Linked DNA regions of Macaca mulatta. The main gene of each other region encodes a partner of the protein of the gene in region 4 in a complex. Links are inferred from orthologs where the notes say so. Each region holds a gene or a part of one and is shown on either strand. Other genes may lie near its edges. The genes, in order: CWC27, SNIP1, LSM7, SNRPD1, DHX16, SCNM1 and GPKOW.

Region 1 (3,500 bases), on a different chromosome or scaffold from region 4:
AGCTTCTAAGTTATAGGGGTCATAAAAATGAACTAGTTTCATTGCATACAAATTATGATGAGAATTTAGTGCTTCAAGTTGGTAATTCAGCAGACTTCTTTTTAATGATATTTTTTAAAGAAAAGATGTTTTTAAAATACTATTTTCAGTCAATAGAAGAGTAAGATTCTTACTTATAAAACTTTAGTTTGTATTGAACCTTTCAGGGATACGTCTTTTGCTAACCATATTATATCATTGCTAGGTTTTATGTAAATTTGTTAACTCGTCATTTAGGAATACTGTTTATTTCCCCCCTCATGATTATATTGTACATTCTTTCCAGAGCATGAAGGGCAAAAGCAAAAGTAGTCATGACTTGCTTAAGGATGATCCACATCTCAGTTCTGTTCCAGTTGTAGAAAGGTTAGTCCATTGTTGGTGTGATCCTAAGTTCTTAATTTTCTGGGTCAGATAATTTTCTTGCTTCCTCTGTGAGTAAACAGTCAGTACTCATAAATCAAAAATTTCAAAACCAACCAAAAAAATAACGCATTTTGATAACAGAGATAGAGAACTTCAAGCTTGATAGAGAGAAACACTCTAGTCACTTTTGCACTTGCTCTCTACCTCTGTTGAGTAAGTTACATTTAAGATTGTTTTACCATTACGTGTTAGGACTGGAAACTGTTTGCTTTAACAGTTTAATGTTTAATTCAAGGTTGTTTTGCTGTTTTTCTTGAAGCATGTTTGCCTTAATTGTATCATGAATGAACAAATTCAAGTTGAAGGTTTTTGTGAAGAAATTACCAGTGTGGGGGCCAGTCCGCTGACTGTAAATTCTCACATACTTTGAGGAGTTAACAGAAAGTTGTCTTGCTACCTTTGTTCTTCTCTTTGAGAAGGGAAGATGTCTTGGTGTTAGATGTGATTGCACAAGATAAACTGGGCCATTATCTCAAGGGGCACTACAATGCTGTTGTACTCAGTTTAGCTCATTTTTGAAACTCCTGTTTTAGGACAATCTTTTCTTAATATCCTTTTATTTGAAGGATTTGGGGTTTTTTAGCGAGAATACTTCAAGCCAATAGAAGAAATTGTTCTTTGCAGACCATTGTTCATAAAAATAGCACTGTTGGTTGTTGTTTGCTTTTTTTCTTTCAAATTCTAGTGAACGCATATATTTGCTAATGAATCATACTTGTTCCACTTATAAAGAGTGTTTCCATCTGTTCTATAATGCCCTTCTTAAATTCCTATGTTGAAATACATTTTTGGAATGTTATTCCCAGCAAACTATTCTAGATTTTTGGTTTACAAAATAATTGTATTAGTTTTACCTTGAAACTAAAATTTGTTTTGCTTATTTTTTTATAGTGAAAAAGGTGATGCAGCGGGAGATTTAGATGATGTAAGTATTTATTTTGGTATAAATATAGTTTGAACAATTCATAGAAAGTACAAAATTTTTACAAAGACTTAATTTTGTTCTTAAAAAGTAATGTGCATTACTTTTTATAGTATAGTATAATGTATAACTTTTATAGTTATATATGTCAAATTTTGGAAAAATATGAAAAATAGAAATTATCCATTTAGGTATTAGAATATTTCCTTACTCTAGGGGTGTGCGTGAGTGTGTTTATATATCTCTCTACAACATTAGAATCTTATATATGAATTTCTAGTCTGTTTTTTTCTCCCCTTCACATAACATTACATTAATACTCAAACTTGAGATGTTATAATTTTATTGTGTTAAAAGTTTAAGTGTTGGTGTGTGGGCATCCTACATGATACATGGGAAATGCTTTGATCAGTCATTTATAGTAGTGTCCCCTTTTTATATACACATTTCAAAAGATTCTCATTCAAGACTGTAGTGATCTTTGTTAGTTGTGTTGGGTAATAAAGCTAACAAAACAGAAGGAAGATTTTCCTTTAATACATAAGAGTCAAGTTTTGCAAATTATACATATGCCACTTTGTATATAAAAATCCATTAATCTGTGCATTATATAATTTACTAGGAAGTACATAACTTTCCATGCATGAACACAGATTTATCTATTATCACAGTCAAAAGAGAAGGCTCTCTCTGGCTATCAGTAGGAGATAGAGAGAGGATGAATATCTGACCTTGTCAAGAAAACCTTCCTGGAAGAGATGATGGTGTTTATGTCTTACATGAGAGTTAGGAGTTAGATAAGTCAGAAAAGAAAGTGGTGAAGGGTAGGGTCCCTCTAGCTCAGAGAACAGCATATACTAAAGCATGGAAATAAGGAGAGATTATACCTTATTTAGGAAATACAAACAGAGATTTAAAGTTTCAAGGAGTCTGTCTTGTGAAGAGCAAGGAAGAAGATTATTGAAGGTAAGGGGAACTGCATATACAAAATAGTCCGAAGCAGGAGAGTTTGGTGTGTTCTAAGAGCTGCAAGCAGGCCAACGTGAACAGGATGTGGTGACAGGCCAGAGCTTCATTACAGAGCTTCATAGGCCGTGGTGAGGAGTTTGAATTTTTTCTCAAAAGGAAGTGAGGAACAGTTGAAGGGTGTTTGTTAAAAAGAAGGATGCTGTGATCAATTTTGCATTTCAGGAAGATCACCGTTGGTGATATTATAGAGGACAAATTAGAGGAAACAGACTGATGTCAAGGACAGCCACTGGGAAGCTATTGCAGGAGGAGAGCTTGATATAAGACCACAGCTGTGAGATGGGAAAGAGGTAGATTTGAAAGAGGTCTAGGAGGTGACTGATTCCATACTATGAGGTGAGGGAGGAGTAGTCCAAGACAACCACAAGGTCTCTGGTTTGGGCAACTTGTTAGATGGGTACAAAAGAAAGCATAGGGTTGAGATGGAGAGAAGGATGAAAAGTAATGAGCTTAATTTTATACATTTCAAGATTGAAGTAATTTGGAGACATCTGTGTAACATAATATGGGTCTAGAAGATAGGATCAATGTATAGGATAGAATGTAAAAGTATAAATTTGCTCTTAATATCATGGGTGGGTGACTAAAACTGTAGATCCTTTCCCAGGAAAATATCCTACATTCACAACCAAAATTATATGAATTTGCCGGGAATTTTTTTCAGATCTCCTGAGGCCTGAGCATGGAAGGCCTAGGTTGGTGGTTGTCAACTTTTAGTGCTTAAACATCTTGTTGAAAACATTCATAATTTCTGCCCCCAGAGATTTTGGTTCAATAAGTCTGCAATGAGGACTAGAATTTCAGGTGTTAATAAACAACTATGTAATACCATCTAAAGACCAGACTTTGAGGACCACTGCTTTAGGGGTCCACAAGTCTCAAATTAAGAATCCTGCTTTCACTACGACTCACCAGATCAAAGAAAGAATCACGAAATAAAAATGATCTACTTGGGGTTATTTCTTCCTTCTTCTCTCCCCTCTTTCTTCCCTTCATTCCTCCCTCTGTTAATGCTGGGTACCATTCTAGGAGTTGAAGATACAACAGTAAGCAAAACAGGCCAGAATTTTAGCCCTCATGGAGT
Region 2 (3,500 bases), on a different chromosome or scaffold from region 4:
CTAACGAGAGACCTGGGAGTGGGCAGGGTCAGGGACGGGAGCGAGACACTCAGAACCTGCAGGCTCAGGAAGAAGAGCGGGAGTTTTATAATGCCAGGCGACGGGAGCATCGCCAGAGGAATGACATTGGTGGTGGCGGTAGTGAGTCTCAGGAGTTGGTTCCTCGGCCTGGTGGCAACAACAAAGAAAAAGAGGTGCCTGCTAAAGAAAAACCAAGCTATGAACTTTCTGGGGCACTTCTTGAGGACACCAACACTTTCCGGGGTGTAGTCATTAAATATAGTGAGCCCCCAGAAGCACGTATTCCAAAAAAACGGTGGCGTCTCTACCCATTTAAAAATGATGAGGTGCTTCCAGTCATGTACATACATCGACAGAGTGCGTATCTACTGGGTCGACACCGCCGCATTGCAGACATTCCTATCGATCACCCATCTTGTTCAAAGCAGCATGCGGTCTTTCAATATCGGTAAGTAACATGGAGGAAGAAACTCTAATGTGAGCAGAAACAATTGCTCAGTTAGTTAGGATTACTAAGATTTTTGTTCATACATATACAGAAGAATCCCATACCCCTCATATCTAAAGAGTATTGTTAATCTAACTTCCCTTTAAATAATTGTTTACATATTTATAAGAACATTATACTTTTAATCTATTTTTTGTTTTTTTGTGACAAGGTCTCACTCGGTCACCCAGTCTAGAGTGCAGTGGAGCAAAGACAGCTCACTCCAGCAACCTCTTGGGCTCAAATGATTGTCTCCCACCTTGGCCTCCTGAGTAACTGGGACCATAGGCATGTGCCTCTGTGCTCTACTAATTTTGAAACTGGTTCTTGATAGCTTGCGTGGGACATCTGTGATGATTCTCACAACAATCCTGTGAGAAGGATAGGACCGGTTTTTGGTTTTTTGTTTTTGTGAGACGGAGTCTCCTTCTGTGCCCAGGCTGGAGTGCAGTGGCGTGATCTCAGCTCACTGCAACCTCTGCCTCCTGCGTTCAAGCGATTCGCCTGCCTCAGGCTACCGAGCAGCTAGGAATACAGGCGCACGCTGCCACACCCAGGGAATTTTTGTATTTTTAGTAGAGACAGGGTTTCATTGTATTGGTCAGTCTGGTGTCGAACTCCTGACCTCGTGATCCACCCGCCTCGGCCTTCCAAATTGCTGAGATTATAGGTGTGAGCCACTGCGCCTGGCCCATTTTTTGTTGTTGTTGTTGGTTGTTGTTTTGTTTTGTTTTAACATGGTCTCCTGACTTTGAATGGACAAGTATTTATATCCCCATTTGACAGATGAGAAAACTGAAGCCCAGCAAAACCAAGTGACTTGCCTAACAAATGATCACTATAGTACAGTGGTCCCCAGCCTTTTTGGCACCAAGGACCGGTTTCATGGAAGACAGTTTTTCCATGGAACCAGGGACATGGTTTCAGGATTCAAGTGCATTACATTTATTGTGCACTTTATTTTCTTTTTTTTTTTTTTTTTTTTTTTTTGAGACGGAGTCTCGCTCTGTCGCCCAGGCTGGAGTGCAGTGGCGCGATCTCGGCTCACTGCAAGCTCCGCCTCCCGGGTTCACGCCATTCTCCTGCCTCAGCCTCCCGAGTAGCTGGGACTACAGGCGCCCACAACCGCGCCCGGCTAATTTTTTGTATTTTTAGTAGAGACGGGGTTTCACCGTGGTCTCGATCTCCTGACCTTGTGATCCGCCCGCCTCGGCCTCCCAAAGTGCTGGGATTACAGGCGTGAGCCACCGCGCCCGGCCTATTTTCTAATATTATCTCATTGTAATATATAATGTAATAATTATACAACTCACCATAATCTAGAATCAGTGGAAGCCCTGAGCTTGTTTTCCTGCAACTCGATGGTCTCATCTGGGGGTGATGGGAGACAGCGACAGATCAGGCATTAGATTCTCCTAAGGAGCACGCAACCTAGATCCCACTTGTGCACAGTTCACAATAGGGTTCACGCTCCTATGAGACTAATGGCACCGCTGATCTGACAGGAGGCGGAGCTCAGGCAATAATAATACGAGTGATGGGGAGCAGCTGAAAATACAGATGAAGTTTGGCTTGCTTGCCTGTCTGCCCACTGCTCACCTCTTGCTGTGCGGCCTGGTTCCTAACAGGCCACGGACTAGTACCAGTCCATGGTCCAGGAGCTGGGGACTCCTGCCATAGTAGAACTCTGGCTCAAATATAGCTCCCTTGACTCTGAAGTCCAGGTCCACTGTTTTTTCCCATTTGGACAGGAACTGAAATATATTGAAATATAGGTTAAAGAAACATTGATTATAAACAACAGAAAAAAATGTATTTTCTTAACCACAGCAAGAGACTTTGGATTCTGCATTTCCACCTTTTGATCTTCCATGGATTCTCCCCACCCTCCAGTAACCCATTCTCACCTTTTCTACTAAATATATTTAAACTTCCAATTTCCCTTCCCAGGGCCATGCTTTCCCCTTGATTTCTTTGATTCCCTAGAATTTTAACTTGAATTATGCTCAAGTCAGGTTATTTACATCATCTAGGCTGTCTTAGCAAAGAGCTTCAGAGAGGATGGATGATCTGAGGCAGAAGTTTGCTCATAGGTTTCTCCTTTTTCTCTGCTAGGCTTGTGGAATATACCCGTGCTGATGGCACGGTTGGCCGAAGAGTGAAGCCCTACATCATTGACCTTGGCTCAGGCAATGGAACCTTCTTAAACAACAAACGTATTGAGCCACAGAGATACTATGAACTAAAAGAAAAGGATGTACTCAAATTTGGATTCAGTAGCAGAGAATATGTCTTGCTCCATGAGTCGTCGGACACTTCGGAAATAGACAGGAAAGATGATGAGGATGAGGAGGAGGAGGAGGAAGTATCTGACAGCTAACAAACTAAGAACCCAAACTATTGAGACACGTTTTCCTTGTTGGAAGGCTTTGATTGACTCAGAGAGCACTATGGTGGTGGGTCCAACACTATCATGCTCTCTGTAATGCCTCTTACTGCCTTAAGTCTTTCCCCTGTTGCTGACCAGATTGTGTTACCATTTGAATACACTGACTAATGTTTGTTAAACTTTTTCTGTGGCACCTTGGCCACATGCCTGCAGGCATTTGTTTTCGGAACAGTCTCACCAATTACAACACACCGTGTTTTAGTAGAAGCGTTGTGGTTTTAGTTGGTGCTTTCAGAACTGCTGCCTAGGAAACTATAAACCCTTGGTTAAGGGTAAATCATGGCTTGTTCTCTTTGTACAGTTAACTTTATTTATATAGGTATTAAGCTTTGTGGACCAGGTGTTTTTCTTTTGGGGTGAACCCCTGAGCAGAGAATCTTACTAGGCTTTGGTTATCACCAAAACAACCTCCAGTATATACCAAAGCTTTGACCTGGTTGAGCTCTTGAGCTTAGAAGTTGATTTTGCACTTAGTCTTTTGGGGGTGGGAATGTACTGCAGTCAGTAAACGTTATTGACTGTTTAACTTAAACAGATGCTTTA
Region 3 (4,205 bases), on a different chromosome or scaffold from region 4:
CTGTCCCAGCAGAGCACTCCGTCTCCCCTAGAGGAAGCCCTGTCCCCATCAGCTGTCACTGCCTGTCGCCTCTCCGGCACCCACACATCCCCTCCCTGTCTCTGTGGATTGGCCTGTCCTGGACCTTTCATAGAAACGGGATCACACGCTGCGCGGCCTTCTGTGGCTGGCGTCTCTCACCGAGCGTGGCGTCCTCAGGCGCGTCCTCAGGCACATCCGCACCGCGGCCTGCGCCAGCCTCGCTCCTCTTCCCGGCTGGTGGTTCCACCGCATGCATGTGCCGCGGCCTGTTTTGCTACTGTTTTGGAGCGGAGAATTGTTTTTATGACTTTTAAATATCTGGAAAGGGATCAAAAGAAGACTGTCTCATGATGTGGAAGTGATACGAAATTCCCGTTTCAGTGCCTGTGTGTCGAGCTGACTGGCCACGGTTCAGCCACACGTGGACTCATCACCGAAGCTGCTTCCACCCAGGCAGCCCGAGCCAGCAGCTGTGACCGGCACCCTGTGGCCCACACGGCCAGAAGTGTTTGTCCTCTAGCCCCCCGCAGACACAGTCGGCTGCCCATGGTGGGGGTCACTCTGGAGGCGCCTGTCACCAGCCCCTCCCGGGAGCCCTCCCCCACCCTCAGTCCTCCATCCCTGAAGCAGTGAGCCCCATGCCTGGGCCACGCTGGGGCAGGCCGTGTACCCAAGATGGATCTCATGCCTTCTCATTTCTCTCCCCCGGTGATTTCTCCAAGCCAGTGGAATCCTGAAGGGCTTCGACCCACTCCTCAACCTTGTGCTGGACGGCACCATTGAGTACATGCGAGGTGAGTGGGGCGGTGGCTGAGGCGGGCAGCGGGATGAGGAGGGCAGTGGGGTGAGGGGGCAGCAGGGCAAGGGAGGCGGCCATGGAGCTGCCTGCTGCCTCTTCCTCCCTGAAACCCACAAAACCTCACTCTGAGGCACCAACGTGAAGCCTTGTGTTGGCCGATGGACGGGCTGAGCGCTCACCGGTCCTGGACGTCCTCACAAAGCTGGAAACTCCATTGTTGTGGGGCCTGGAGAGACGGGGAAGCTTCCCCACTGGTCTCTACATACTGACAGGGCACTTAAAATGCTCGCAGCACAGTTAGAGGACAGGCTTTTTAAATGTTGTATTATTTCAGTTTTTGTTAAACTGGTGTCGCGAGGGGCCGGGCACGGTGGCTCACACCTGTAATCCCAGCTGCTCGGGAGGCTGAGGCAGGAGAATCGCTTGAACCCGGGAGGCGGAAGCTGCAGTGAGCCAAGATGGTGCAACTGCACTCCAGCCTGAGAAACAGAGTAAGACTCCGTCTCCAAAAAAAAGAGATAAGCTGAGGTCTCACTGTGTTGCCCAGGCTGGTCTCAAACTCCTGGGCTCACGCCATCCCCCTGCTTCAGCCTCCCAAAGTGCTGGGGTTCCAGGTGTGAGCTGTGGCACCCAGCCGAGAGCAGCCTTGCTGTGGGAGAGCGAGCGTGCTGTGGGACCCCTCTCGGGCCCCTCTCCTCTTCTGCCTTGTTAATCCCCACTATGAACGCAGGGCCCCCATCCCCTCCCCAGAGAACACTCCCTCATTTCCCTGCCCCTGCTCGCTCTCCTCCCCAGTGAGGCCGCCAGGTCCTCAGACTCTCCCCGCTAGAAGATCCTGCTGCAAGTCCCCAGCCCGGCCCAGGCATCGGGGGGAGGCCAGGACTTAGAAAGAGACAGTCTTACCCCTCGGACCCATTGATACTGACACAAGATTTATTCTTGGAGCTGGCCACGGTGGCTCATGCCTGTAATCCCTGCACTTTGGGAGGCCGGGACAGGAGGATCACTTGAGCCCAGGAATTTGAGACCAACCTGGGCAACATACTGGGACCCTGTCTCTACAAAAAAACAAAAAAAAAATGAATTAGCCAGGCATGACGGTGCATGTGCCTATGGCCCCAGCTACTCGGGAGGCGAAGGCAGGAGGATTGCTTGAGCCCAGGAGGTTGGGGCTGTGAGCTGGGATGACGCTACTGCACTCCAGCCTGAGGGACAGAGCAAGACCTGGTCTCTAAAACAAAAATGTTAAAAACCTGGGCCCCGTGGTTCTCCCATGCCCCCACCAGCACACGACCACAGTAGTGAGGAGTTTTCATTGCCGTCAGCCTCTTCAGAGCTTGTCTTGGGCTTGCTGGTACTTCCCTGGGGTGCCAGCCCACATGATCCCCACGTGGGTCCCACCCACATGAACAGCCTCTTTTTTTTTTTTTTTTTTTTTTGAGACAGTATCTCACTGTCACCAGGCTGGAGTGCAGTGGCGCCATCTCAGCTCACTGTAATCTCCGCCTCCCGGGTTCAAGCGATTCTCCTGCCTCAGCCTCCCGAGTAGATGGACTACAGGCGCCTGCCACCACACTCAGCTAATTTGTTGTATTTTTAGTAGAGGCCAAGTTTCACCATGTTGGCCAGGATGGTCTCAATTTCTTGACCTCGTGATCTGCCCACCTCAGCCTCTCAAAGTGCTGGGATTATAGGCGTGAGCCACTGCACCCAGCCCAGCCGCTTTTTTTTTTTTTTTCTTTCTGAGACGGAGTCTAGCTCTGTCGCCCAGGCTGGAGTGCAGTGGCCGGATCTCAGCTCACTGCAAGCTCCGCCTCCTGGGTTTACACCATTCTCCTGCCTCAGCCTCCCGAGTAACTGGGACTACAGGCTCCCGCCACCTCGCCTGGGTGTTTTTTTGTATTTTTTAGTAGAGATGGGGTTTCACCGTGTTAGCCAGGATGGTCTCAATCTCCTGACCTCGTGATCCGCCCGTCTCGGCCTCCCAAAGTGCTGGGATTACAGGCTTGAGCCACTGCGCCCGGCCAATTTTTTTGTATTTTTAGTAGAGATGGGGTTTCACCGTGTTAGCCAGGATGGTCTTGAATCTCCTGACCTCGTGACCTACCCGCCTCGGCCTCCCAAAGTGCTGGGATTACAGGCGTGAGCCACCGCACCCAGGCCCCAGCCTCTTATAGGGTGAAAATTGGCCCCCTAGGGTTCCAGGAACCCTGCAGAGACCAGGAGGCCCGGGGTGCCTGTATTCTGGCTGGCCATCTGATAACCTGGTCCCCAGCCCTGGTGCCTGGGCTCCAGTGAGCTCCAAGACCCAGGGTAGCCGGCTGTCGCTCAGGCCTCCCTGTTCCTGTGGTTTGTGGAGTGAGGGCAGGCTGTGGCTGCTGTCTGTGGAGCTGTCGCTGGTCTCTAGGGGCTGTGGGTCTGAGCCATGGGAGCCGGGGACCTGCCCCGCAGAGTGCACCCCCTCTGGGGTCCCCACATGCTCATGGCACCCGCAGGGTGCAGGTGGGGAGGGCGGAGCGAGGGTCTTGTGTCGGTGGGAATTCTCAGAGGCCTCCTGGAGCTCCCTCAGCCCTCTCTGTCTGCTCCTTCCCAGACCCTGACGACCAGTACAAGCTCACGGAGGACACCCGGCAGCTAGGCCTCGTGGTGTGCCGGGGCACGTCTGTGGTGCTGATCTGCCCGCAGGACGGCATGGAGGCCATCCCCAACCCCTTCATCCAGCAGCAGGACGCGTAGCCGGGCCAGGGCTGCAGGACAGGCCGGAGCAGCTTGGTTCCCCACAGACTTGGCCGCCGTTCCCACCACGGTGCCACCTGCTGGAACGGAAGTGCTTTCCTTTTTGTATAGGTTGAATTTTTGTTTTCTTAATAAAACTGCAAACCTCATTGTGTTTGAGCCCCAGAATCTTGCTTTTCCCTTGACCTTCTGAGGAAACCTGTATTCTTGGAGATTGGACTCAGACCCTGGAGCTCATCAAATACCAGCCATGGTCCTTCCTGGGGGTGAGGGTTCACAGGTGACCAAGGCAGGTACAGGCAAGGCCGGGACAGGCGAGTCAGGAGCCTCAGTCCGATGAGGGGCTTGTGGAACCCCAGGCCAACCCCTGAGACAGCAGGAGCCGGGTGCATCAGGAGGGTGGGTGCATCAGGAGGGTGGGTGCATCAGGAGGGTGGGTGCATCAGGAGGGTGGGTGCATCAGGAGGGTGGGTGCATCAGGAGGGTGGGTGCATCAGGAGGGTGGGGTGCATCAGGAGGGTGGGGTGCATCAGGAGGGTGGGTGCATCAGGAGGGTGGGTGCATCAGGAGGGTGGGTGCATCAGGAGGGTGGGGTGTATCAGGAGGGTGGGTGCATCAGGAGGGTGGGGTGTATCAGGAGGGTGGGGTG
Region 4 (4,198 bases):
AACCTGAAAGAGGTAAGGGGAGTGTTTGTGTTAAATCTTGATGAAGTTCACACCTGTAATCCTAGCACTTTGCACTTTGGGAGGCCTAGAGAGGCAGATCACTTGAGGTCAGGAGTTCAGGTCATCCTGGCCAACATGGGGAAACCCTGTCTCTACTAAAAAGACAATAATTAGCGGGGCGTGGTGATTCCCCCCTGTAATCTCAGTTACTGGAGAGGCTGAGGCACGAGAATCGCTTGAACCGGGGAGGCAAGGGTTGCAGTGAGCCAAGATCGTGCTACTGCACTCCAGCCTGGGCGACAGAAGGAGACTCTGTCTCAGAAAAACAATAAAAAATTTTGAGGAGATGTTGTGAAAGATGAAGATTGAAAAGTTTGTCTTATAGATCGGAACTTAAAGTGAAAATAATCCGCTACATTGTGTGATTTTATTTTTTTATTTTTATTATTTTTTGAGACGGAGTCTCGCTCTGTTGCCAGGCTGGAGTGCAGTGGCGCGATCTCGGCTCACCGCAACCTCCGCCTCCTGGGTTCAAGCGATTCTCCTGCCTCAGCCTCCCGAGTAACTGGGACTACAGGCGTGTGCCACCACGCCCAGCTAATTTTTGTATTTTTAGTAGAGACAGGGTTTCACCATGTTGGCCAGCACGGTCTTGATTTCTCGACCTCGCTATCTGCCCGCCTCGGACTCCCAAAGTGCTGGAATTACAGGCGTCAGCCACAGCGCCCGGCCCATTGTGTGAATTGCTTCAGGTACATTAAGTAATGCTAAGGTTCCTGGCGTTGGAACAGAATTAGCATAATCCTTTGGGCTTCTCTAAGAACTTATTTTCGTTCAGTGAGGAATTTATATTAGGTGCTGCACTCACGGTGCCCTGCTATTCAGAAACGTGATGGTGACAGTACGTGTGTGTGTGTGCGCGCGCGCGCGCGCGACGGAGTTTCGCTCTTGTTGCCCAGGCAGGAGTGTAGTGGTGCGATCTCGGCTTACTGCAACCTCTGCCTCCCGGGTTCAAGCGATTCTCCTGCCTCAGCCTCCCGAGTAGCTGGGATAACAGGCGCCCGCCACCACATCCGGCTAATTTTTTGTATTTTTAGTACAGACGCGGGTTTCACCCTATTGGCCAGGCTGGTCTTGAACTCCTGACCTCAGGTGATACCCCCGCTTCGGCCTCCCAAAGTGCGACAGTCCTATTAATTGGATTTAATCTCTTCGAATCTCCCTCTCTTGTGGGACACTTTTCCTCTTAGACCAGCCCTCAACACCCTCAGTCGTGGCAAGGCAACCTCCAGCCGCCAGGGGCCGCAGTCGCGCTCCTCGCGACCGGAAGAGAGTGCGGCCCAGCGCAGCCTCGGCGTTTCCGCCGTGCGTCTGCTGTGCTCCGCGCGCCCTTTACGACCGGAGTCCCTGGAGTAGGCGCTTCCGGCCATTCATACTGCAGTCGGTCAGTATTCGGTTGTTGGATTCTGTGCGCTCTCGGACCCGAAGGGTGACGGCGCCGCTAGGATGAAGCTCGTGAGGTGAGGGAGTGACCAAGCAGCTCCGGGGGCTGTGGAGGGAGGGCTTGGCCCGGAGTCCGGAAGGCTGGGCTCTCCCATTTGCAGGAGGCGGGAAAGCCGCGTGTGCGCGGCCTGCTAACGGCCGGCCTTACTGCGCCCGCAGCTCGTGCTCGGGCCTGGGCTTCCGCCTGGGTCGCTCGCGAATCCCGCGTGTCTTCCAAGATACTGGTATAAAGGCCGAGCCTTTTCTTCCCGCCTAGTGACTTAGAGACTTTCAAGGTACAGCGCCGCCTGGGAGACATCTCGCCCTTACAGTTACTGATTTTCTTTTTGAGTGGAGCTCCAGCCCTACTTAAGAGTACTTAGAAAGCTGTATGAGCTTATCTGGAAACAAACCTGTTTGCAAACTGTTTTAAATCAGAGAAGGACTTCTGGCTTCACAAGTTTTTGTTTTTGTTTTTGTTTTAAATAAGACGGTGTCTCACTTTGTTGACCAGGCTGGTCTCGAACTCCTGGGCTAAAGCGTTCTGCCTGCCTTGCCCTCCCAAAGGGCTGAGATTACCGGTGTGAGCCACTGCGCCCGGCCGATTTTTAAGTTTATCTTTTGATTCTCCTTAGACTTATGATTGATTATTCTACCTCTTTCCTGTTAAGGTAAGCTTTTTATTTAGGAAAATCTCCCAATATAGGGCAGAAATTATCACAACGTAATTGTGGCTGATTACCCAGATGATATATAGTTATTCTGTTTTATTTCTTTCGCGAGAAATAGACCCTGTCACTTAGGTGAGTCTTCTGGAGACTAATTCCAAACTACCTGCGAGTAGATTTGGTTTTGGTCTTTTTCCTTGAGACTGAGCCTGGAACAGAGGCAGACGTTTCTAATAACTAAGCCATCGATTATAAATATTTAGCTTGTTTCTTTCCTGTTGAGTCAAGGATTGTCATTATCCGCTAAATAGTTATTGGGCACCTGTTACCTACTGGGCGCTGGTAATAGTATTTTTTAAAAGGCAGATCCTTGTTGGAGCTTTCTAGTTAGGGGGATGACAGACAAGTAGATAACGTCTGAAATAACGTTTGTTTGAAACGTTTTAAATAACACATAAAAGCCTTCAATATTCAGGGAGGAGGCCAGGCGCAGTGGCTCACGCCTATAATCCCAGCACTTTGGGATGTCAAGGCGGGCAGATCACTAGGTCAGGAGTTCGAGACCAGCCTGACCAACATGGTGAAACCCCGTCTCTACTAAAATTACAAAAATTGGCCGGGCGTGGTGGCGCGCGCTTGTAATCCCAGCTACTGAGGAGGCTAAGGCAGGAGAATCGCTTGAACCCAGGAGGCAGAGGTTGCAGTGAGCTGAGATTGGCCACTACGCTCCAGCCTGGGCAACAGAGCGAGACTCCGTTGCAAAAATAAAAAAATAAAAAATAAAAAATTCAGGGAGGAGTTGGTACAAAAGACAATTAAGATTAATTTTTGTTGTATTTTTATTTGAACTATAATTTTGGATAGGAAGTCATAGAATTTAAAGTGCATTTTTTAGGCTGGACGCGGTGGCTCACGCCTGTAATCCCAGCACTTTGGGAAGCTGAGGCAGGCGGATCGCCTGAAGTCAGGAGTTCAGGACCTGCCTGGCCAACGTGGTGAAACCCCGTCTTTCGAAAAAATACAAAAATTAGCCGGGCGCCTGTAATCCCAGCTACTCAGGAGGCTGAGGTAAGAGAGGCGCTTGATCCCGGGAGGTTGTAGTGAGCCGACGTCACACCACTGTGCTCCAGCCTGGGCAACAGAGCGAGACTCTGTCTCAAAAAAGAAAATTACAACATTTTTTGAAATTTCTCCATACCAGCCGGGCGCGGTGGCTCAAGCCTGTAATCCCAGCACTTTGGGAGGCCGAGACGGGCGGATCACGAGGTCAGGAGATCGAGACCATCCTGGCTAACGCGGTGAAACCCCGTTTCTACTAAAAATACAAAAAACTAGCCGGGCGAGGTGGCGGGCGCCTGTAGTCCCAGCTACTCCGGAGGCTGAGGCAGGAGAATGGCGTGAACCTGGGAGGCGGAGCTTGCAGTGAGCTGAGATCCGGCCACTGCACTCCAGCCTGGGCTTCAGAGCAAGACTCCGTCTCAAAAAAAAAAAAAAAAAAAAAAAAAAAGAAATTTCTCCATACCTGCTAATCTGAATCTTAATCTACTCATAGTTCAATTTTATGTAATACACCTTGGATTTCATTTGTTCCCTTTAAATATATTGCATGTTATGGCAATTTTCCAGTAATTTTTAATACCTGGACTGAATCCTGTTTTGTGTCTTAGGTCAAATATAGAAAGAAAATTTTTTTCTTACCAGAGAATGTATTTTTCCTCCAGAAAATGATTGTTTGACTAACTGGTTTGCGTTTTCAGTAGACTTATTTCTGTATATCAGTTGGTAGTTGTCATCCTTATTCTCACTGTCACCCTAACCAAAAACCTGGGAGGTGAGCTTGACTTTTTCTCTACTGATGTCCTTGACATTTGATACACTGCCAGTTTTACCTACTGCATAAAAGTGTCCCACATTTTCCTGTTTGTTTTTTGGGTTCAGATAGTGTGTTTTGATACTGAGGGACACCGTGTTATCTGACTATTTGATATCTAAGTTTCACTAAGTAGAAAGAATTCAGATACTGAAAGATTCGTCTGAAAATAAGTTGA
Region 5 (3,500 bases), on a different chromosome or scaffold from region 4:
GAAGCTTGGGAATGAGGTGAGATTTCTAGGGAACTGGGGGGTAGAGACTGGGGTCTGTGACTCAGTCTACACTGCCCTCAGGTCCCTACGGCAGAAGTCTTGGTGCTGCCCCACTTCACCTTTCCCCAGGTTCCTTTCAGGGCACACCATCCAACACTTGGTTGCTAATGATTTCCCTTGACCAGGTTGGCTACAGCATCCGCTTTGAGGACTGCACGTCAGAGCGAACTGTCCTCCGCTACATGACAGATGGGATGCTTCTCCGGGAGTTCCTCTCTGAGCCTGACCTTGCGAGTTACAGGTACATACAGGGCCCTCATCTCCCATGAGAGAGCTGCCCACATTCTCTTCCCCCTGTGCTGCCGCCTCCCTCCCACTCAGTTCTCTCCTGGATCTCTAATCTCTGGCTTTTCTCTCATTTCTTGCCACCCAGCCAATTCAGCCATTGTCTTCTGATTAATCCACCAGTTCTTATATCGTTATGGTTCAAACGGTCCTTGAACTGACCTCCAGGTACCACTGAGATGGGGCTGGAGGATAGAAGAGATTGTAGAGAAAGCCTCTTCTTCTTTCCCCATTCATCTCCAGGGTTAGGAAACAACCAGGATAGCATAGCATTGCTGCGGAGGCTTGAAATGCCATGTGGAGACCATTTGAAAACACCTGGAATGCTCAGCTCAGAGGGAGAAGCAGGAGAGGCATCCTGGTTCCCTCTAAATATGTGAAGGCTGTGACATGGAAAGAAGGATGAGACTTGGTTTATGTAACCCTACAGGATATAGCTAGGAGCCATGGGGAGGTTACAGGGAGACAGATTCCAACTCAATACCGACGGCTGAGTAACCCTCAGAGTGTTGGAGATTGCAGGGCCTGTCACAGTGGTTGGACTCTGGATCTTGGCCCTCCACACAAGTCTTGGGTAGCTTGGTCTGTGAATAATGAGCTCTTAGTGCTGGAAATGGCCAAGCAGAGGTTGGTTGAACATGTGTTGAGGGGGAAAAGGGATTCATGAATGTGCTGGGGTTGGGGTCAGGCCAGCTGAACAATATGTGCCCTTTTGACTCTTCAGAGGCTGTGAATTTCTGGCCCTGGAAGATCACAGTGGAGTGATTGGACAGATAGGATTTTATCCTTCATATCCCTTGCAAAAAATCTCTGAGAACCCATGGGGAGCCAGCCAGTGCAAGAGGGCCTGATGCAGATATTTTTGCCCATCGAGCCAGCCTGCTTTGTGGAATGACTGGGGGCTTCACCATCACAGTTAGGGTTAGGGACAAAGAGTTGAGGTCAGAGAGGTGGGTAGGGGAAGATGAGGATGAGTTCCTGGGACTTGGCTGCCACCCAGAAAAGCCAAAAAATAAAGCAAAGAGAAAGAAGGTGTCATGCACATAACTGAGTTAGGAGGAAACCAGGGAGCATGCAGAGTCCTCTGAGAGTTGGGGTAGAAAGGCTTAACTTGCTCCTCTCTGCAAAAGAAGAATCCTTCTTGGCAGGTCTCGCTGTGTCACCCAGACTGGAGTGCAGTGGTATAATCTCGGCTCACTGCAAGCTCCACCTCCCAGGTTCATGCCATTCTTCTGCCTCAGCCTCCCAAGCAGCTGGAACTACAGGCGCCCGCCACCACGCCCGGCTAATTTTTTTTTTTTTAAGTAGAGACGGGGTTTCACCGTGTTGGCCAGGATGGTCTCAATATCCTGACCTCGTGATCCACCCTTCTCGGCCTCCCGAAGTGCTGGGATTACAGGCGTGAACCACCGCACCTGGCCTCTTTTTTACATAGAGTGTCGCTCTGTCACCCAGGCTGGAGTGCAGTGGCTCAATCTTGGCTCACTGCAACCTCTGCCTCCCGGGTTCAAGCGATTCTCCTGCCTCAGCCTCCTGAGTAGCTGGGACTATAGGTGTGCGCCACCACACCTGGCTAATTTTTTTTTGTATTTTTAGAAGAGACAGGGTTTCGCCATATTGGCCAGGCTGATCTCAAACTCCTGACCTCGTGATCTGCCTGCCTTGGCCTCCCAAAGTGCTGGGATTACAGGTGTGAGCCACCGTGCCCAGCCTAAAGCATATCCTTCAACTTTTTCTTTTTTTTTTTTTTTCTTTTTCTTTTTTTTCTTTTTCTTTTTTTTTTTTTTTTTTTTGAGACGGAGTCTCGCTCTGTCGCCCAGGCTGGAGTGCAGTGGCCGGATCTCAGCTCACTGCAAGCTCCGCTTCCCGGGTTTACGCCATTCTCCTGCCTCAGCCTCCCGAGTAGCTGGGACTACAGGTGCCCGCCACCTCGCCCAGCTAGTTTTTTGTATTTTTAGTAGAGACGGGGTTTCACCGTATTAGCCAGGATGGTCTCGATCTCCTGACCTCGTGATCCACCCGTCTCAGCCTCCCAAAGTGCTGGGATTACAGGCTTGAGCCACCGCGCCCAGCCTCGTTCAACTTTTTCTAGTAAGAGCAGCTACTGAGTCTAAGCAGACTCTTGACTGAACTAGAGAGTATGTCTGACTTGTCCTGGCCTCAGTGCAGCCTCTACATCTTGGCTTCTATTGTCTGCTGAGGCTGGGATAGGTTGCAGATCATGGGTCCCTGGCCGTCTCTGACTTTCTGTTGGTCTTACATAACTGGGATGGCTGAGTTCTCCTTAGAGCCCCCTCCGTCAACAGTCATTCTTGAGCTCTTTGTGTCCATCACTCCCCTCTCGTCCAGGGAACCCTGGTGTCTGATACTGCATTGCCCAGCGCTCCTCCCTCATTGCTGCCCTATTCCCTCCCCAGTGTGGTGATGGTGGATGAGGCTCACGAACGGACCCTACACACAGACATTCTCTTTGGATTGATCAAGGATGTTGCTCGCTTCCGACCTGAGCTCAAGGTCCTGGTGGCTTCAGCCACACTGGACACTGCCCGTTTCTCCACCTTCTTTGATGACGCCCCTGTGTTTCGAATCCCCGGACGCAGGTTTCCTGTGGACATCTTCTACACCAAGGTGCTACCTCAGGGAGGATGGGCTTAAGTCTGTGGCAGAAAAGCTGAGGCCTTTGGAGAAAGTTATCCCAAGGAGGGAAAGATGGAGTGGAAGGTCCAAAGGGGAACTAGGATAAAGTATATGTTGAACTGGGAGGAGAGGAAAGGTTTGCCTAAGCAGGTGGCCCTCCTGTGACCCCATCTCTTTCTGCTCTCCAGGCTCCAGAGGCTGACTACTTGGAAGCTTGTGTTGTATCTGTGTTGCAGATCCACGTGACCCAGCCCCCTGGGGATATCCTGGTGTTCCTGACAGGACAGGTGCCTGACATGGTTGGGAGAGGGGAGGGTGTATCTCAGGGGAAGACGGGGCCGGCATGTTGGCCTTCTGTGACTCTGGGATCCCTGCTGCTCTCCCCGCCCTCTATCCAGGAGGAGATTGAGGCTGCCTGTGAGATGCTCCAGGATCGCTGCCGCCGCCTGGGCTCCAAAATCCGGGAGCTCCTGGTGCTGCCCATTTATGCCAACCTGCCCTCTGACATGCAGGCCCGC
Region 6 (3,984 bases), on a different chromosome or scaffold from region 4:
CTGGCATGATAAAATAGGAGCTGTTCCTCTCCATTGGAATAGTAGAGCAGAACTTGTCCCAACCACGCAGTGCAACACTGTGATGGGAAAACAAAGATAAAAGCAGAACAGAGTTCAACACATTAGGAACATTTCAGGGGAGGTTACCTAGAAGGTCCACTACATTCTTCTCAGGACTAAATCCCTCCTGACTCTTGTCTGCACCCCAATCCTGGAAAACTCACCGTCACCCCATATTTGAGTGCTAGTCCAGCCAGGGTGTCTCCGGGCTCCAAATGATGCTCCAGGCGTCTTTCCCTCACTGGGGAGCAGGCCGATTGCACCAGGCTTCCATATGAACGAGCCCGGCTCCCGTGAAGCAGTCCTGACCCCCCTGGCGGGGGCTGTCTAGACGGGGAAGCCATCTCTTCACCCTGCCGACAGCTAGGTTGCAACTAGGGGAGGCCCGACCGAGACTGCGAATGACAGGCCTGAAGTCTGGGAATAGATATTCAGGGGATTCCTTTCCCCTTCTCTCTTCCCCTGTGTCCCCGCCTCCCCAGCACTACGCCACCTGCCCCCTCCCGGTTTCTCCTCCCTCCAAGTCCTTATCCACAAATCTGTCCCTTGAGTATTCAGTCCCTCCCTGATTCGCCCCTAAGCACCCCTCCGACTTTGAACTCCCCCACAACTCCTCGCTACATTGACCTCTGACCTTTGAACTCTAGAAATAATCCTCAACACTCTTTCCTCAGTTTGCCCCCAAGTAGTCTGGCCTCAGGGCGCTCCCACATCCCAGCTCTGCCCGGTCCCGGGGTTTGTTTGCTAGAGCCAGGAACAAATCAGGCCCACCCCAGGTGAACTGTCGCCGCAGACGAAGAGCGTGAGGATTGCGAGAATTTGTAGTACACCTTCCACTCAGAGATCCTCAAAGGTCCGCTCCGCATCAGATAGGTCACACCCTCAAATTTCGGCTCCACATCTAGGTTCTTGTCCCTCTAAACGCCTCAGATCCACCAAGATGCAAGGGCCTGGATCCAGCTGAGCGGCAAGGTCTTTGAGGAAAAGACTTCATTTCCCAAAAGGCGTCGCGTCTGCGGAGTCGCACGGCACCATAGGAAATGCAGTTCCCTCCACGCGCCAGAGAGTGGATATCCGGATGGCGCAATGCATGCGTGGAAGTGCATTCCCGGAAGTACGGGGGCCGACAGGAAGACAAAGAGAAAAGAGAAGGCGCTGTCCCGCTCTTGCTACGGTGGCCTAGAGGAGTGGCGAAACCGGAACAAGAAAATTTATCACTTCTGGGACTCACAGTCGTGATGTCTTTCAAGAGGGAAGGAGACGATTGGAGTCAACTCAATGTGCTCAAAGTAAGCGTGAGCGGAGAGGATCTGCAGCCTCTTCAGTCGCTCTCTGAAGGTTGGGAAGGAGCTTTGTTTCATTGCTCTGGCAACAACTCGGGGGTGCAGGAGAGAACCAGGCGACTTAGAGCTGTGTAGTGACTCCTTTTTCGGTCTATGATCGCTGTTCTCCCCAGGGTCCTTATGTCCTTATTCCGTTTGACTCCTCATTTCTATCATTTAACTTCCATCCCTCTCTCCTATCCTGCTGATCCGTCCGGATTTCTTCCCCTACTCCCTGCAGAAAAGAAGAGTCGGGGACCTCCTCGCCAGTTACATCCCAGAGGATGAGGCGCTGATGCTTCGGGATGGACGGTAAGAGCGAGGAGTGGCTCAAGCCTGAGGGTTTTGCGGTTAGAGGCTCAATAGCTGTGTTGCCCAGGCTGTCCTTGAACTCTAGGGCTCAAGTGATCCTGCCTTCTCAGCGTCGCGATTAGCTGGGATTACAGGCGCACGCCACCACGCCCGGCTTCAACAAACTTTTGTTATTAATTAGGACAGCAGAAGTATCTAGGATTCTTTGGCGGCTAGTGAGGACTGGAAGAAGTGGAGATTGGGTCACCAGGGAGTTGGGTTTTGCAAAGACTGCTAGGACAGGGTGGGACTTACGGCAGGGACAGGCCCAACCCTCTTCCCCTGGACCAGTTATCCTCTTCTCTACCCCTGCTCAGCTTTGCTTGTGCCATCTGCCCCCATCGACCGGTACTGGACACCCTGGCCATGCTGACTGCCCACCGTGCAGGCAAGAAACATCTGTCCAGTAAGTTCGGGGGAAGACAGGGGATGGGGAATAAATCGAAATCTCTGCACACCAGCCTTGGTGCTATGCTTTTAATTCTGTTTCCCTTTCTCTTCAGGCTTGCAGCTTTTCTATGGCAAGAAGCAGCCGGGAAAGGAAAGGAAGCAGAATCCAAGACATCAGAATGAATTGAGGAGGGAAGAAACCAAAGCTGAGGTAATCAGAGAGTGGAGAGTGTGTTCTAGGCAAGACCCTGCTGCACACACCAGGCTGGAAGGGCAGAGGGCTGAAGGCTCTGACTCTGTCTCCCATCTTCTTACCAGGCTCCTCTGCTAACCCAGACACGACTTATCACCCAGAGTGCTCTGCACAGAGCTCCCCACTATAACAGTTGCTGCCGCCGGAAGTACAGGTATGGGAGGGGAAAGCCAGAGGTAGGAAGGCTCGGAAGGAGATAGAGGGCTCTGAAAGTGTTTTCCAGTCTGTATTCTGAGGAATACTAGCGTTCTGGAGATGTTACTTAGTGTTTCAAGAAAAGGAGAATTTTGGCCGGGCACGGTGGCTCACACCGGTAATCCCAGCACTTTTGGAGGCTTAGGCGGTGGATCACTTGAGATCAGGAGTTCAAGACCAGCCTGGCCAACATGGTGAAACCCCGTCTCTACCAAAAATATAAAAAATTAGCTGGGTGTGTGGTGTGTGCCTGTAATCCCAGCCACTCAAGAGGCCGAGGTGGAAGAATTGCTTGAATCCGGGAGGCAGAGGTTGCTGTGAGCCAGGATCATACCACTTCACTCCAGCCTAGGTGACAGAGTGAGACTCCATCTCAAAAGAAAAAGAAAAGGAGAATTTTGTGATTTTTAAATAAAGTTTGGGAAATGGCACTTTGTAATTCTACTTGAAGAGTAACAGTTTTAGGCCGGGCGCAGTGGCTCAAGCCTGTAATCCCAGCACTTTGGGAGGCCGAGACGGGTGGATCGCGAGGTCAGAAGATCGAGACCATCCTGGCTAACACGGTGAAACCCCGTCTCTACTAAAAAATACAAAAAACTAGCCGGGTGAGGTGGCGGGCGCCTGTATCCCAGCTACTCGGGAGGCTGAGGCAGGAGAATGGCGTAAACCCGGGAGGCGGAGCTTGCAGTGAGCTGAGATCTGGCCACTGCACCCCAGCCTGGGTGACAGAGCAAGACTCCATCTCAGAAAAAAAAAAAAAAAAAAAAGAGTAACAGTTTTAAAAGCTATACAAAGTCTTAAGAATTAAAAAAAAAACTTGTAAAATTTAAAGCTAGCCTTTCCCAAATTCATGATTCTAAAATCCTTTGTATGCAGAACTTACTAATATCTTGAAAAATATAGTTTAAGAAACACTGTTTTAAGAGGTTGGGAGTCATAGGAGAGTTGGCCCTTTCCCTTACTGCTTTTACAGACTATTCTTCTCTACCTAGACCAGAAGCCCCTGGTCCCTCTGTCTCCCTTTCTCCTGTGCCACCCTCAGAGGTCGAACTCCAAAGCGGGAAGATCAGTAGGGAACCTGAACCTGGGGCTGGCCCACAGGCCGAGGAGTCAGCAACTGTCTCAGCCCCTGCACCCATGAGCCCCACAAGAAGACGAGCCCTGGACCATTATCTCACCCTTCGAAGGTGAGTGTGCCTAATCAGTTTCCTCAGATTTTCTTTTCTCTCTGACCCTTCTTGTTTCAAAGCTTTTTTTTTTTTTTTTTTTTTTTTTTTTGAGACGGAGTCTCGCTCTGTCACCAGGCTGGAGTGCAGTGGTGTGATCTCATCTCAGCTCACTGCAACCTCCGCCTCCCAGGTTCAAGCGATTCCCCTGCCTCAACCTCTCGAGTAGCTGGGATTACAAGCATGT
Region 7 (4,137 bases), on a different chromosome or scaffold from region 4:
TTCACCATGTTGGCCAGGCTGGTCTCGGACTACTGACCTCACAAGTGATCCGCCTGCCTCAGCCTCCAAACGTGCTGGGATTACAGGTATGAGCCTGGTCAGTAGGCACTATTTCTTTCTTTCTTTCTTTCTTTCTTTTTCTTTTTTAAGACAGAGTCTCGCTCTGTCGCCCAGGTTGGAGTGCAGTGGCGGGATCTCGGCTTACTGCAAACTCTGCCTCCCGGGTTCAAGCAATCCTCCTGTCTCAGCCTCCTGAGTAGCTGGGACTACAGGTGCCACCACCAGCCCGGCTAATTTTTGTATTTTTAGTAGAGACAGGGTTTCACCATATGAGTCAGGCTGGTCTCAAAGTCCTGACCTCAGGTGATCCACCAGCCTAGGCCTCCCAAAATGCTAGGATTACAGGCATGAGCTACCACGCCTGGCCAGTAGGCACTTTATGTCTATTATTTACTATTGTAGACAACTGACACTCCTTCCCCCGCCCCCGACCCTGACTTTTTCTTTTTTAGAGACGGGGTATCGCTCTGTCACTCATGCTGGAATGCAGTGGCGCGATAGGAGCTAAGTGCAGCCTCGAACTCCTGGGCCTCAGGCCATCCTCCTGCCTCAGCCTGTGGGCTAAATGAAACTACAGGTGCACGCCACCACACCTGGCTGATTATTTCTAAATGATTTACTTCATCAACACTTCCCACATGAGTAGGGCACACAGTAGGCGCTCCATAAATACTTGTCAAACGCCTACACGAAGGAATCAATGCCTGGCAAGAATGAATCCACCTTCCACCATGCCTACCTCGCTAAAAACTACATTTCCGGCCGGGCGTGGTGGCTTACGCCTGTAGTCCCAGCACTGTGGGAGGCCGAGGCAGGCGGATCACGAGGTCAGGAGATGGAGACTATCCTGGCTAACACGGTGAAACCCGTCTCTACTAAAAATACAAAAATTAGCCGGGCGTGGTGGCGCATGCCTGTAGCCTCAGCTACTCGGGAGGCTGCAGCAGGAGAAGCGCTTGAACCCGGGAGGCAGAGGTTGCAGTGAGCCGAGATCACGCCACTGCACTCCAGCCTGGGCAACAGAGCAAGACTCCATCTTAAAAAAAAAAAAGAAACAAAAACAAAACAAAACAAAAAAAACTACATTTCCCTGTGCACTTGGCGCGACGCACTCCCACGACGTTTGAAAGAGCGACAATTACTTCCCACGGCCCCTTACCGCCCCCTCCCGCCGGTGCCACAGTGGTTGATGGGAAGGTAGTTTTTACGCACTTTGGCCGGCCCCTAGCGATCTGAACCCAAACTAAATTTCCCAGCAAGCAGCGCGCAGGCCTGGGAAAAGTGGCAAGATGGCTGACTCCGAAGAGGGTGTTTTGCCGCTGACGGCTGCTTCCACTGCCCCAATTTCATTCGGCTTCACTCGCACGTCCGCACGGAGGCGGCTGGCCGACTCGGGAGACGGCGCGAGGCCATCTCCGGAGGAGAAGGATTTCTTGAAAACCGTGGAAGGGAGGGAGCTGCAGAGGTGACGCGCCGGGTCTTTCACACCTTGGAAATCGCTGCGGTGGGCGTAAGCGGGAGGGAGGAACCTCACTCAGTCGTTTGTCTTGGTGACAGTGACCTGTTAAGCCTGAAGCACAGCCTGAGTAAATTCGTGAAGGCCAGAAGGCTGGAGTTTATAAGAGGGGTGGGGAAATTGGGCCTGATAGCCGTGGGAATTGCGAAGAGAGGATGTATCACTGAGAAGAAGTGTCTTTAGGACTTGAGGACACTGAGGTGTGTGCGTTCTGGGAGAAGGAAAGAATGAGAAAATGACAGGACCTGCTAGTGTCTCAGCTGAAGTGGTGGGGCTTCTCTGATATGGGGAACGGGATGGAGCGGCAGATTCAGGTTGATGGAGGCCACCATCAGCTTAATGAGGAGAGGAGAGTCTGAGGGAGGGATTTCCAGAAGAGAATCAGGCATCTGGGAAGCTGTTTGGGAACCTGGAGCTAGGGAGGGTCTAGGCTGAAGATAGTGATTTGTGGGCCATTGTGGAAGCCGGTCTTGAGTTAAACAGAGAGTCCAGGACTTATTTCTCGAAGGCACTGACATTTACGAGTTGGGGGCACTGGGGGGGATAATCCAAAGAATGCACGATCAGAGAGGTACAGGAGATCCAGACATGGAGTAGAGAAGGCATGGTCTGTGGGGCTGGGGTGAGTTTGGCTCTCGTGTTTTCTCTGAATAAAGGAGTGTGACCCACTGACACTGCCATTCTCCCAACCCCACCCCTCTGTGTCCACATCAGTGTGAAGCCCCAGGAAGCCCCCAAGGAACTCGTCATCCCTTTGATCCAGAATGGCCATCGCAGGCAGTCACCAGCCCGGCCCCCTGGGCCATCCACAGATACTGAGGCCTTGGCAGATGGGGTGCTGTCCCAGGCTGTGAAGGAGCTCATTGAGGGTGAGTGATGCCCCTTTACCCTTCCCCAGTGAAGGAAGAAGATGAAGAAGGTGGAAGGATAGAGTGGGACTTCATTGCTCCCTCCTATTCTTCCCTTAGAATCCAAGAAGTCTCTGGAAGAGAGAGAGAATGCGGGTGTCGACCCCACGCTCGCTATCCCCATGATCCAGAAAGGATGCACCCCCAGCGGGGAAGGGGCAGACAGCGAACCCCGGGCAGAGACAGTGAGCTGGCCCCTTGTCCCCCTCCTGCCCCAGCCTTTCTTTGCCCTGTCTGCTAGGCTGTGTCCCTGCACATAGCAGGGAAAGTCTGTGTGCTAGAGGCCCGCCACCTGTCCTTTCTCCTGTCATCCTTTTTGGAAGCATTACCAAATGAATCTGGATATCTGGATGCTAAAAACGTACTTGAATCCTAGGATTATCTGAATGAGGTGTGCAGCAAAGGGAACAGGAAATGTAAAGGCCCTGAAGGTAGACACTGCCTAGAGTGTTTGCGGAACACCAAAGAGACTAGTGTGACTGAAGTGGAATGAGTGAGGGGAAGGGATAGTAGACGAAGTCAGAAAGGAGATGGGGGTGCTAGACAAGGCAGGGCCTTGTAGGCCATTGTGAGGACTTTGGCTTTTACTCTGAGTGGGATGAGAGCCTAGGCAAGCCCTGAGCATAGATGAAATATGATTTATGATTTGACAGCATCCCTCTGGCTGCTGTGAACAGACTCATTAGTGAAGGTGGAAGCAAGGGGATGAGTAGTCCAGGCTAGAGATGCTGGGGACTTAGACCAGAGTGGTCTGGAAGGATAAGTAGGGTTTAGTGAGAGGGAAGAACAGAGTGAGTGTTCCTGTTGGTAGTAACAGCCCAAGCAATGGCATAGTGGCAGAAAATCGATGTGGTGTGTGTCCATCAGTGAGGCAACATGTGGTGTGTCTGGAGTGAATGGGAAGGAGTGATGATGGAAGGTGACGAGGAGATGTGAGAGGCGTGTCTACAGGAGTAACCAAGTCTGTCTTTCATACCCACAGACCTGACTTTTCACCTCTTCTTTCATAAATTTCTTACATTGCTTCTTTGGAGTCTAGTTCTCCTACAGCCCCAGAACACTCTCTTTCAACTGAACTGTTCTCTTCAGCCTTCAGATGTGCTCTGATTTCCTTCAATTTTTTTTTTTTTGTTTGTTTTTTGTTTTTTGAGACAGAGTCTTGCCCTGTGGCCCAGGCTAGAGTGAAGTGGTACGATCTCGGCTCACTGCAACCTCCCGCTCCCGGGATCAAGCGATTCTCCTGCCTTAGCCTCCCAAGTAGCTGGGATTACAGACACGTGTCACTACCGCCTGGCTAGTTTTTGTATTTTTAGTAGAAACGAGGTTTCGCCACGTTGGTCAGGCTGGTCTTGAACTCCTGACTTCAGGTGATCTACCCACCTTGGCCTCCCAGAGCGCTGGGATTACAGGCATGATCCACTGTGCCCAGCTCCTTCATCTTTAAAGAAAAAAAAGATCCTCACTTCCCTCTTCATCCTTTCATCCTGTTCCAGCTTTAACCTCATTCCTCTAATTTTTCCCTCTATAAACCTCCTCCTGCAGCTTTATACATATCAGGTGACCAAAAATTCCATCCATCCTTCCTCTCACTCAGCATAAAAACCTTGGAGTCGGCCAAGCCTGTAATCCCAACACTTTGGGAGGCTGAGGTGG

What was found.
Region 1: SNRPD1 (region 4) and CWC27 share a complex: the UniProt entries of both Homo sapiens proteins name them as parts of the minor spliceosome. The link is inferred for Macaca mulatta from reciprocal best matches to the Homo sapiens genes SNRPD1 and CWC27.
Region 2: SNRPD1 (region 4) and SNIP1 share a complex: the UniProt entries of both Homo sapiens proteins name them as parts of the minor spliceosome. The link is inferred for Macaca mulatta from reciprocal best matches to the Homo sapiens genes SNRPD1 and SNIP1.
Region 3: SNRPD1 (region 4) and LSM7 share a complex: the UniProt entries of both Homo sapiens proteins name them as parts of the U4/U6-U5 tri-snRNP complex. The link is inferred for Macaca mulatta from reciprocal best matches to the Homo sapiens genes SNRPD1 and LSM7.
Region 5: SNRPD1 (region 4) and DHX16 share a complex: the UniProt entries of both Homo sapiens proteins name them as parts of the minor spliceosome. The link is inferred for Macaca mulatta from reciprocal best matches to the Homo sapiens genes SNRPD1 and DHX16.
Region 6: SNRPD1 (region 4) and SCNM1 share a complex: the UniProt entries of both Homo sapiens proteins name them as parts of the minor spliceosome. The link is inferred for Macaca mulatta from reciprocal best matches to the Homo sapiens genes SNRPD1 and SCNM1.
Region 7: SNRPD1 (region 4) and GPKOW share a complex: the UniProt entries of both Homo sapiens proteins name them as parts of the minor spliceosome. The link is inferred for Macaca mulatta from reciprocal best matches to the Homo sapiens genes SNRPD1 and GPKOW.

The regions. Positions count from the first base shown.
Region 1 is NC_133411.1:72,852,601-72,856,100, forward strand, and holds part of CWC27 (spliceosome-associated protein CWC27 homolog), read left to right. Parts: intron 1-325; coding exon 326-405; intron 406-1,356; coding exon 1,357-1,390; intron 1,391-3,500. UniProt on the Homo sapiens protein: As part of the spliceosome, plays a role in pre-mRNA splicing. Probable inactive PPIase with no peptidyl-prolyl cis-trans isomerase activity. As a component of the minor spliceosome, involved in the splicing of U12-type introns in pre-mRNAs.
Region 2 is NC_133406.1:203,258,086-203,261,585, forward strand, and holds part of SNIP1 (smad nuclear-interacting protein 1), read left to right. Parts: coding exon 1-469; intron 470-2,623; coding exon 2,624-2,888; 3' UTR 2,889-3,500. UniProt on the Homo sapiens protein: Required for pre-mRNA splicing as component of the spliceosome. As a component of the minor spliceosome, involved in the splicing of U12-type introns in pre-mRNAs. Down-regulates NF-kappa-B signaling by competing with RELA for CREBBP/EP300 binding.
Region 3 is NC_133424.1:3,071,154-3,075,358, reverse strand, and holds the end of LSM7 (U6 snRNA-associated Sm-like protein LSm7), read left to right. Parts: intron 1-180; exon of another isoform or gene 181-339; intron 340-743; coding exon 744-815; intron 816-3,413; coding exon 3,414-3,556; 3' UTR 3,557-3,705; downstream 3,706-4,205. UniProt on the Homo sapiens protein: Plays a role in pre-mRNA splicing as component of the U4/U6-U5 tri-snRNP complex that is involved in spliceosome assembly, and as component of the precatalytic spliceosome (spliceosome B complex).
Region 4 is NC_133423.1:70,797,268-70,801,465, reverse strand, and holds the start of SNRPD1 (small nuclear ribonucleoprotein Sm D1), read left to right. Parts: upstream 1-1,398; 5' UTR 1,399-1,506; coding exon 1,507-1,520; intron 1,521-4,198. UniProt on the Homo sapiens protein: Plays a role in pre-mRNA splicing as a core component of the spliceosomal U1, U2, U4 and U5 small nuclear ribonucleoproteins (snRNPs), the building blocks of the spliceosome.
Region 5 is NC_133409.1:152,384,635-152,388,134, forward strand, and holds part of DHX16 (pre-mRNA-splicing factor ATP-dependent RNA helicase DHX16), read left to right. Parts: coding exon 1-16; intron 17-185; coding exon 186-301; intron 302-2,762; coding exon 2,763-2,973; intron 2,974-3,170; coding exon 3,171-3,269; intron 3,270-3,380; coding exon 3,381-3,500. UniProt on the Homo sapiens protein: Required for pre-mRNA splicing as a component of the spliceosome. Contributes to pre-mRNA splicing after spliceosome formation and prior to the first transesterification reaction.
Region 6 is NC_133406.1:115,922,672-115,926,655, reverse strand, and holds the start of SCNM1 (sodium channel modifier 1), read left to right. Parts: upstream 1-1,184; 5' UTR 1,185-1,298; coding exon 1,299-1,349; exon of another isoform or gene 1,350-1,398; intron 1,399-1,623; coding exon 1,624-1,694; intron 1,695-2,050; coding exon 2,051-2,139; intron 2,140-2,236; coding exon 2,237-2,334; intron 2,335-2,441; coding exon 2,442-2,530; intron 2,531-3,563; coding exon 3,564-3,758; intron 3,759-3,984. Other genes in the region: LYSMD1 (lysM and putative peptidoglycan-binding domain-containing protein 1), read right to left, coding at 225-404. UniProt on the Homo sapiens protein: As a component of the minor spliceosome, involved in the splicing of U12-type introns in pre-mRNAs. Plays a role in the regulation of primary cilia length and Hedgehog signaling.
Region 7 is NC_133426.1:49,204,849-49,208,985, reverse strand, and holds the start of GPKOW (G-patch domain and KOW motifs-containing protein), read left to right. Parts: upstream 1-1,337; 5' UTR 1,338-1,349; coding exon 1,350-1,525; intron 1,526-2,290; coding exon 2,291-2,445; intron 2,446-2,544; coding exon 2,545-2,669; intron 2,670-4,137. UniProt on the Homo sapiens protein: RNA-binding protein involved in pre-mRNA splicing. As a component of the minor spliceosome, involved in the splicing of U12-type introns in pre-mRNAs.